Macaca fascicularis: one gene and its partner. The protein of the gene in region 1 interacts with the protein of each later gene in a biochemical or structural test. Links are inferred from orthologs where the notes say so. Each region holds a gene or a part of one and is shown on either strand. Other genes may lie near its edges.

Region 1 (4,817 bases):
CGGGTGAGAGACAAGAGTGGAAAGCATTGTTAGGAAGCTACTACAGCAATCTAGAGGAAAGATGATGGTCTGGACTAGGCTGGTAATAAGAGGGATGGAAGAAAGTGGACTGATTTGAAATATACGTAGACTCTATAGGAATTACTAATGGATTAGATGTGGGGAACAAGGGAAAGAGAATTCAAGAATATATTCTAGGTTTTGGCTTGTCCAACTGGGAAGACAGTGATACCATTTACTTAAGTGGAACAACTAAATGAGAAGTGTATTTGGGGGATAAAGCTAAGTTTTGTTTTGTGTATGTTAAGTTTGAAATACCTGTTTGACATTCAAGTAGAAAAAAGCATAGGCCTGTATACATAGAAATATATGTATCTATATCTATATATTCATACTTATCTATTAATCAATCTACCTCAGGAGTTCCATGGAAAAACCAGAACTAGAGATAGAAATCACCAGAATCAGTATTACTACCCAGTATTGAAAGCCCTGACGCATACATCCCTACCTTGTCCATCTGTTGAATTCCTGGTCATCCTTTAAAACCTAGTTTAGACATCATCTCCCAAGGTCTTCCCTGATCACCCTGAGTGAATCTCTTTCTCCCCTCTATTACGTGGGTAGGGTATTTTGTAGGTACTTACACCTTTCCATTTAAGACTGCACAGTAATTATTTGCTGACGCATAAAGGCAAGGGACCTCATTCAATTCACTTTGGTGGTCATTTTCTTTTTTTTTAAGCGATGGGGATCTCACTATGTTGCCCAGGCTGAATTCAAACTCCTGGGCTCAAGTGATCCTCCCATCTCAGCCTCCTGAGTAGCTGGTACTACAGGCTTGTGCCACCAAGCCCCCTCACATTGGTCTTCTTCAACATTAACATTGTAAATTACGATATGTCTGATAAAGTAGACTCTTTTTTTTTTTTTTTTTTTTCAGATGGAGTCTGGCTCTGTCGCCCAGGCTGGAGTGCAGTGGCCGGATCTCGGCTCACTGCAAGCTCCGCCTCCCGGGTTTACGCCATTCTTCCGCCTCAGCCTCCCGAGTAGCTGGGACTACAGGCGCCCGCCACCTCGCCCGGCTAGTTTTTTTGTATTTTTTAGTAAAGACGGCGTTTCACCGTGTTCGCCAGGATGGTCTCGATCTCCTGACCTCGTGATCCGCCCGTCTCGGCCTCCCAAAAAGTAGACTCTTAATAAATGTCAATGAAATTGAACCAAATTCATCAAAAATTCATCAATTTGCATCAGAAAGTCAGAAGCAAAAGTTACAATTGACAAAGACAAAATGCTGCCAGGTGAGAATTAAGGTTTCCAACATCATGCGGGGGAACCATTAAAACAATCAAATCCTTTTTCTACCTCCATCTAAACTAGTAAGTCTACAGATGCAGAAAAGAAGGACGAAGTTCTCTTATTCACAGAAAAAAAAGAAGGGGTTGAGTCCAAAGTGCCTATAGTATTTCTTCTCTCAATGACTCACATGACTATCTGCCCATAAAAAGATCTGCATAAAAAATGCTGCAGTGTGTCTATCACCAAACTGTGTATCATTTATACTGCAAAAGTTCTAGGAGGGTAGGCAGCTTATAAATACTCACCAGCAGACAGTGGGCAAAGTCAGGACCTCCCACTAGGCCAGTGAAATTTCCCAGCTGCTCAGCAAGAGCTAATAGTACCTCATCTTCATCATAAATTGTATCTGGAAGGGACAACAACAGGGACTCATCAACATGGATAGCTCTCACATAGCTGGACACTGACACAAAACTAGGAACAGATTCACTATGCGACCGGTAAGGTGGCCCAGTCAAAATCCTAACAGCATTTTCTTCCTTCTCCTCAATCAACCATCTTCCTGGATCTGTTTTGCACAACGAATTAGAAATTCATACTCCCATATCAATTACTTTCCCAACAGCTAAATGGTTGATGTTTGAATATATCTAACCACAACTAATAATATCCTCTGTTCTGTTTCTTTTGCACAGAAAGCACCTGGCTCATTTTAATGTGGGTAACAAACTCTAAAAAAGTCAGTGTCGAAAGTCCCTGGAAAATGAATGTCCCTGCCTTTCTTTAAACAAAGATTCACATACCTGTAAGAAATGGCAACAATTCACTTCGCGTCCTTTCTACTCCAAGTGCTAGGGCAATTGTTGATAACTTCTTAATACTGTTGAGTCGGAGCTTCAGAAAAGAAAGTAGAAAGAAGAACAATGTAAAGAAACGGCTGAATTTAGATCAAAAGACAAAAGGTGCTAACAGGTGAAATAATGACACAGGGGTAAGAACGAAGATAACCTTTTACTTAGATTTTACTGTTAAGGAACCTCCATAGGACGGAGGAGTGTAACTCGGCCTCACTAGCCGGCGGAAGATTTCCTGGGAGAAACACTCAGAAGGGCCTGGAAGAGAAATGAATGAAAGACAATACAACACCCAGGAAGTAAGATAATCTTAAAAAGAGAGGACTTTGGCAGTGGTGAAGCAGGTGAAACGGTTGAATACAACGCCTGTGGTTTCAAAGAAAAGTTCCCGCAGAGCTGATACAACGACTCGTCCAGGTTAATCGGCCATCCCACCCCCTCTTTCTACCCAACAGGACGAGCCAGTTCCAAGCCCAGATGAAGGGATTCCGAGGCACTTCAAAGAGCTTCTGGGCATCCTGCGCCCCTCAGCCGCTCCAGCCCCGTCTCGGCCCGGCACCGCGCTTCTCCAGCTCCCTCGCCTACCAGGCGCGGCCACCTCACAGCCCGGATAGGGCGCCCAGGCGGGAAGCGGGTTCCCCGACAACCGCCCTGGAAAGGCAAGGCTCCGGGCGGACCCCTTAGGGGGTCCGAAGCAGGGGTACCAGAGAGGTCCCCGGGAGGGTCGAGGCGTGTCACCACAGCCCCTCGCAGAGCTTTCCCTGCCTCCCCTTCAAGTTTCTGCTACGAGTCCGGCTCATTCAGTACCCCGGCCACCCCCACCGAGGCGCAGGCCTTCCCCCTTCTCTACCACGCGACCAGTCGGTCTCGCCTCGGCTCCCCGGCCTCAGTCCAGTACCTGCACGTCTTCATTGCGGAGCTCGTCGATTAAAACCGCGATTGGGTATAGCGAATCATCTCCATCTCCCCCCGCTGCTCCTGGGCCGGTCCCGAGCCCCGATGCGCCCGCCATGTTCTTTCTCCTCCTGCTGCTGGTCACAGCCTCCCGCCCCGCGCCCAGGCCCCGCCCCCGCCCCGCGCCCAGGCCCCGCCCCGCGCCCGGGCAGCAGGGGAGAAGGCCGCCGCGCGGGTTTAGCAGAGGTTGGGGAGTTGAGTTTCTGTCCCGATGATTAAGACTCCCTTCCGACCCCCACTGCAGGAGTTGTAGGTCTGAACTCAAGAAGACGGGTGGGCTGAGAAAGCGAATGGAACCCCTGCGTCCTTTCCCCAGCCGAAAGAAACAGGGACAGGGATTCATCCGGCTCGTTGTAGTCTGAAGGGGCCAGGGACCTACCTGAGTGATCCGCGCTGTGCCCTCTTAAGACTCAGGCGGACCAAAGAGAGTGCCCGAGGCCAGGAGGAAAAAGGCTTTAGCACCTCCCCTGACTTCATCCTGGCCCTGAGCCACTGGATCTCCAGCCCTAATTTCTCCGCTCAGCCTCAAGCTTCCACAGAACCCCTCCACCTCTTCCGTCGGCCTGTTCTCCAGAATGGTATCTGGCTCCTGCTCCGTAAGACAAATAACGCGGGCGGTGAGAGAAAATGAACAGTGCTGTCCAAACTCCCCAGTCAATATTTTTTCCACGCAAGCTGTTAAAAACATGCTGCTCTCTTGTTTTTGTGTTTCTTTTCAGTTTGGTACTGGAATGGTGCCTTCTGTTGTATTTTCTTCCTCCCATTTTTTAGCTCTTTAGCATGCTAGAAGTACAACAATGAAGCAAAACTAGGACAAGCTTTAATCCCTTGAGGAAGAAAACCCAAACTGGCCTCCCTAGACCTCCAAGAGTCCTCAGAGGCAGCAAGGGGAAGAGGTGGAGGTCTGGGAGCTCGTTCTTACAAACCTGAATGGAAAGTTTTCACTTATCCTTGTCAGGGTAGCACAGAATAATTAGAATGTTTTGTTTGTTTTAGACTGGAATTTAAGCAGCTTGGAGTGATAACTACATATGGTGATCACAAGCTCCGAAATGGTAATTCTATATGCCTGATTAATGAAACTATTAATGCAGTGTAGGAGACAGACTTTTTTAAAACATGGGGTCTGAGGCCGAGGCGGACGGATCACGTGAGGCCAGGAGTTCGAGACCAGCCTGGCCAACTTGGTGAAACCCCATCTCTACTAAAAATACAAAAATTAGCTGGGCTGGTGACCGGCACCTGTAGTCCCAGCTACTCAGGAGGCTGACATGAGAATCTCTTGAGCCCCAGAGGCAGAGGTTGCAGTGAGCCAGGATCGCACCACTGTACTCCAATCTGGGCGGCAGAGTGAGACCCCGTGTCAAAAATAAATAAATAAATAAATAGGGTTCTTGGAAGTAAGCACAATAGAGCCTGTGAATGAATGAATGAATGAATGAATGAGGTGCTTGGAAGTAAGCACAATAGATAGAGCCTTTGATAGTAATGAAAGTTTGGGAACCAGCAGACCTGAACAGTTTTTCTCAAATTATGTTTGTGGATGTATTCTCTAGGGTTTTAATTTTATTTTCATTTTCATATTTTTTAGATTTGTATAAACATATTCTGAATTATTTGGGTGACCACCTTACAACTCAGTATTGCCACACAATTTCAGCACCTACATTTACATGTGTGTTTTAGTGCTGCTTTTATTGTTCTGGGATA
Region 2 (4,038 bases), on another chromosome or scaffold:
ACCTGGGACTTCTGACTTCAGTGCACCAGGTTTATTGGTATATTCCTGCAATATGCCTCACTCACTGCCTATATTCACCATGAGAAACACACCATCCTTGCCCATCCCAAATTCATACCAGGATTTTATTTTCTAGTAGCCAGGTAAAATTATTTTGCTAACAGGCATGTATCAATTTTCATGAGTTAATATTCAACAAGACAAGAATACTGTATCCTGAAGTTTTTAAACCAAAGTTGTTTTTGTTCTTTTAAGCCAAGGAAACCTCTTCTCAGAAGAAATCTTCCTAGGAAGCTCAAAACAGGAAGGGAGAATGGGAAAGAAAGGAGCAGCTCTACTTGAACACAAGGTTAGAGAGCCCAACCACAAGTTACCAAAGAACAGCAGCATTCCACGAGAAATACATTCCTTGTCTATATTATCAACAGACATGCCCCCCAAGAGAGCTTGACTATACGTGCTTCCAGGGAATAACCTGGAAGGCCTCATGAGGAGGTAGGCAGATTACCAAGGGTACAAGTGGCTCTGGACACACAGGTTTAAGACTTGTAAACCTCTGTAATTGTACTTATCACATCTGAGGCTTATTTCAGACAAACAGAATATGTAATCATTTTAAGGAAAGATACAATAAACTTACATTTAGAATGTCTATCACAGAGGGCAGATGCCCTCATGTCACATAGCCGAATAGTTCCTTTACTGCTGCTGTATACAAATGTGTTACAGCTGTTTGGATGAAATTCTGCTGCTGTAATCACCTCTGTCAGCTCTTCCATATTGGCAGGCTTGATATCCACAATGTCTAGATAACATTTTATTAAGGAATTTCCACTTAGAAAAAAGGGCAAATATAATTCTACATTTCTCAAACCTAAAACCCATTCACGGACCTAAGCAAAAGTATTAATTCTGAATTGTACTCCACTGTTTTTATGAGTATAAATTCCAAAGGGATTAAAACCTTTTTTTTAGACGGAGTCTCACTCTGTCACCCAGGGTGGAGTACAGTGGCACAATCTCGGGTCACTGTAGCCTCCGACTCCCAGGTTCAAGCGACTCTCCTGCATCAGCCTCCTGAGAAACTGGGATTACAGGCGCACACCACCACACCCAGCTAATTTTTAATTTTTTTTTCTATTTTTGGTAGAGACGGTGTTTCACTATATTGACCAGGCTGGTCTCGAACTGCTGACCTCCACCAGCCTCGCCTCGGCCTCCCAAAGTCACTGTGCCCGGCCTCAATAGAGTATTTTTATTGACCCAATCATGCATCATGACTTGAGTGAATTTCTTTTTCTAATCTTAATGAGACTATATATATACATATATATATATATTTTTTTTTTTTTTGAGACAGAGTTTCACTCTTGTTGCCCAGGCTGGAGTGTAATGACACAATCTCAGCTCACTGCAACCTCTGTCTCCCAGGTTGAAGCAATTCTCCTAACTCAACTGAGATTATAGGCATGCGCCACCACGCCCAGCTAATGTTTTGTATTTTTAGTAGAGATGGGGTTTCACCATGTTGGCCAGGCTGGTTTTGAACTACTGACCTTAGGTGATCCACCTGCCTTGACCTCCCAAAGTGCTGGGATTACAGGCTGAGTCACCGCGGTTGGCCGAGACTATTTTTACAATAAAAAATTCAAACACAATACTCCATAAATTTGATTACAAGAAAAAAAAATTTTTTTAGAGACAGGGTGTTACTCTGTCATCCAAGCTGGAGTGTAGAAGCAAGATCAAGCTCACTGTAACCTTGAACTCCTGGCCTCAAGTGATCTTCCCACCTCAGCCTCCCAAACCGCTGGGATTACAGGCATGAGCTACCATGCACAGACCTCACAAATTTGATTTTTAAAAATTCCTATTTCCATAGATACAAGACAAATTCCTTAAAATTCCATGAATCCAATTTTAAAATAATACATTATGCCCTTTATGTTCAGCAAATAACTCTTTCCAGTATTTCACTACTCATATACAAAGAAAAAGTAAGTTGCCATACATATATGTATACAGACTATAAAAAGAAGGAATCACATTCATTAAGGAGAGATGAAATAAATCCAATATGGGCACAACATGCCTCTTCACCAAACACCAAAGAAAACCAAATGGATACTAAAACTCCTGTCTGTAATTTCCAGATGCCAAAGATTAATCCGCAAATCATCTGCAGATAAATATGTTTCATAATCACTATTAATAGAAATTGAGTTGATGTGATATGTATGAGCATTGGCAAATATTCTTCGTGGACTGGCCTCAACCATTAGATCCATAGGCCTAAAGACTGGCACCTGTCAATAAGACACATGAAAAAAAGAAGTTACAAAAGGTTCAGTTTCAAATAGCAATTAAGATTCACAAAACTTCATTATTTTAGTTTTTGAGAACATAAAATAGAACAATATTACATAGATTTAGTTTTAAAAAGGAACTGATGTTGATCCTTTCAAAATGCTGAAGAAAAATGAACAATGTGGATAATATATCTTCTTTTACTGGTAGCAATACTATTACAATTTGCAGTTCTTAGTTCCAATATTTTGCTTGAAAGACATGCCAAGTTAATAAATGTTTATGGTTCAAATTAAAGAGGCTAAAAAAAAATTAACCCATAACATCTAACTTTGGGTATTTTTTAGCTACAACTAGAAGATTTGATCTATATCTACTTTTTTGATTTCCAAAGAAAATTTATCTTGAAACTTGACCTTGTAGTAGCTAACATGACAAACCAGAGATGAAGTCTGATGGCATGAAACACTGTCTTGTGTTTGAGTCCTGCTTCTGTCCCTGGTCAAAGTGAGACCTCTATGTAAGTCAGTTTCTATGTTTAAATGAGTTACTCAATATTCTACCTGATTACAGAATTATTGGGAAAGGGGAGACAGACTATAATTATTCCTATTCAAGCTCTGCTCAGGATTTGGGCTATATAATATGAATACAAACACTATCTGTGACATTTTATTCTTATGTACTTACTCGTAGTGTAGTAACTGTAGTAGGATCTCTATACCTTCCATCTTCCTCTTTCAGGTTATACCCTTCTGGTCTTTTGTCCCTTTCACTGATTTTCCATAATTTTATTGTTTTATCTGGGAAGAAAATAAAGCAAGCCCTTAAAATAAAAGGGTAGTACTGAAGAAGAAAAACATTTTAAGGCATTTAAAATATGCTATTTCACATTTCATCTAAAAGGATTCCATGGAAAAAAAAAAAAAAAACCCTAAGCTGACTTACTAAAAAATTTCCTATTAACAGCTGAATACCACACACACATAAAGTACAAAGATCACAAATTTATACATTAGTGGCACTCATATAAATTCCATGTGATAGTCAAATCAAGTCACAGGTCTCTATCCCTATCCCTTAAAAGTAATTAAAGCTAGAAGGAAAAACTTGATATGCATGTGTGGTGTATGCAAACACATGTATGTCTGTAGATACATGTACACATACACTCCATATACGCTCAGTATTGAATTTCGTATCAGGGTTCAGAAGTAGGAAACAGGGCCTGAAGAAAATTGATTAAAAGCATATATCCCCAAGTCCTTCAAGAAGAAACCAAATTCCTAGGTATCAAGGATATATAAAATGGCATCTGTTTAAAAACAAACTTTTGTTTTACAATTAAGTTTAGATTTACAGAAAAGTTACAAGAATTGTAGTGTTCCATATATCCTTTACCCAGTTTCTTCTGTCAACATCTTACGCAACCGTGGTACGTGTGTCAAAACTAAGACATCAACTTTGTATATTACTATTAACTCAACTACAGACTTCATTTGGAGATTTAACCAGGTTTTCCACTAACATTCCTTTTCTGTTCCAGAATTGAAACAACACCGCATTTAGTCATCAAGTTTCCTCAGTCTCTCTGCCTTTACGTTTCTCAGGCTCTCCTTGTTTTCTTGATCTTGACAGTTTTGAGTATTGGCGGTGAGGTACTTTCTAGAAAGCATATCCCTCAACTGGATTTGCCTGCTGTTTCCTCATGATCAGATTGAGACCATGGGT

Evidence for each region.
Region 2: the proteins of PPP2R1B (region 1) and PPP2R2A form a complex in vitro, tested with the Homo sapiens proteins (2 studies listed by BioGRID). The link is inferred for Macaca fascicularis from reciprocal best matches to the Homo sapiens genes PPP2R1B and PPP2R2A.

Annotation. Positions count from the first base shown.
Region 1 is NC_088388.1:110,685,807-110,690,623, forward strand, and holds the start of PPP2R1B (serine/threonine-protein phosphatase 2A 65 kDa regulatory subunit A beta isoform), read right to left. Parts: upstream 3,193-4,817; 5' UTR 3,166-3,192; coding exon 3,052-3,165; intron 2,194-3,051; coding exon 2,103-2,193; intron 1,706-2,102; coding exon 1,605-1,705; intron 1-1,604. UniProt on the Homo sapiens protein: The PR65 subunit of protein phosphatase 2A serves as a scaffolding molecule to coordinate the assembly of the catalytic subunit and a variable regulatory B subunit.
Region 2 is NC_088382.1:29,548,655-29,552,692, reverse strand, and holds part of PPP2R2A (serine/threonine-protein phosphatase 2A 55 kDa regulatory subunit B alpha isoform), read right to left. Parts: intron 3,111-4,038; coding exon 2,998-3,110; intron 2,307-2,997; coding exon 2,129-2,306; intron 806-2,128; coding exon 641-805; intron 1-640. UniProt on the Homo sapiens protein: Substrate-recognition subunit of protein phosphatase 2A (PP2A) that plays a key role in cell cycle by controlling mitosis entry and exit. Involved in chromosome clustering during late mitosis by mediating dephosphorylation of MKI67.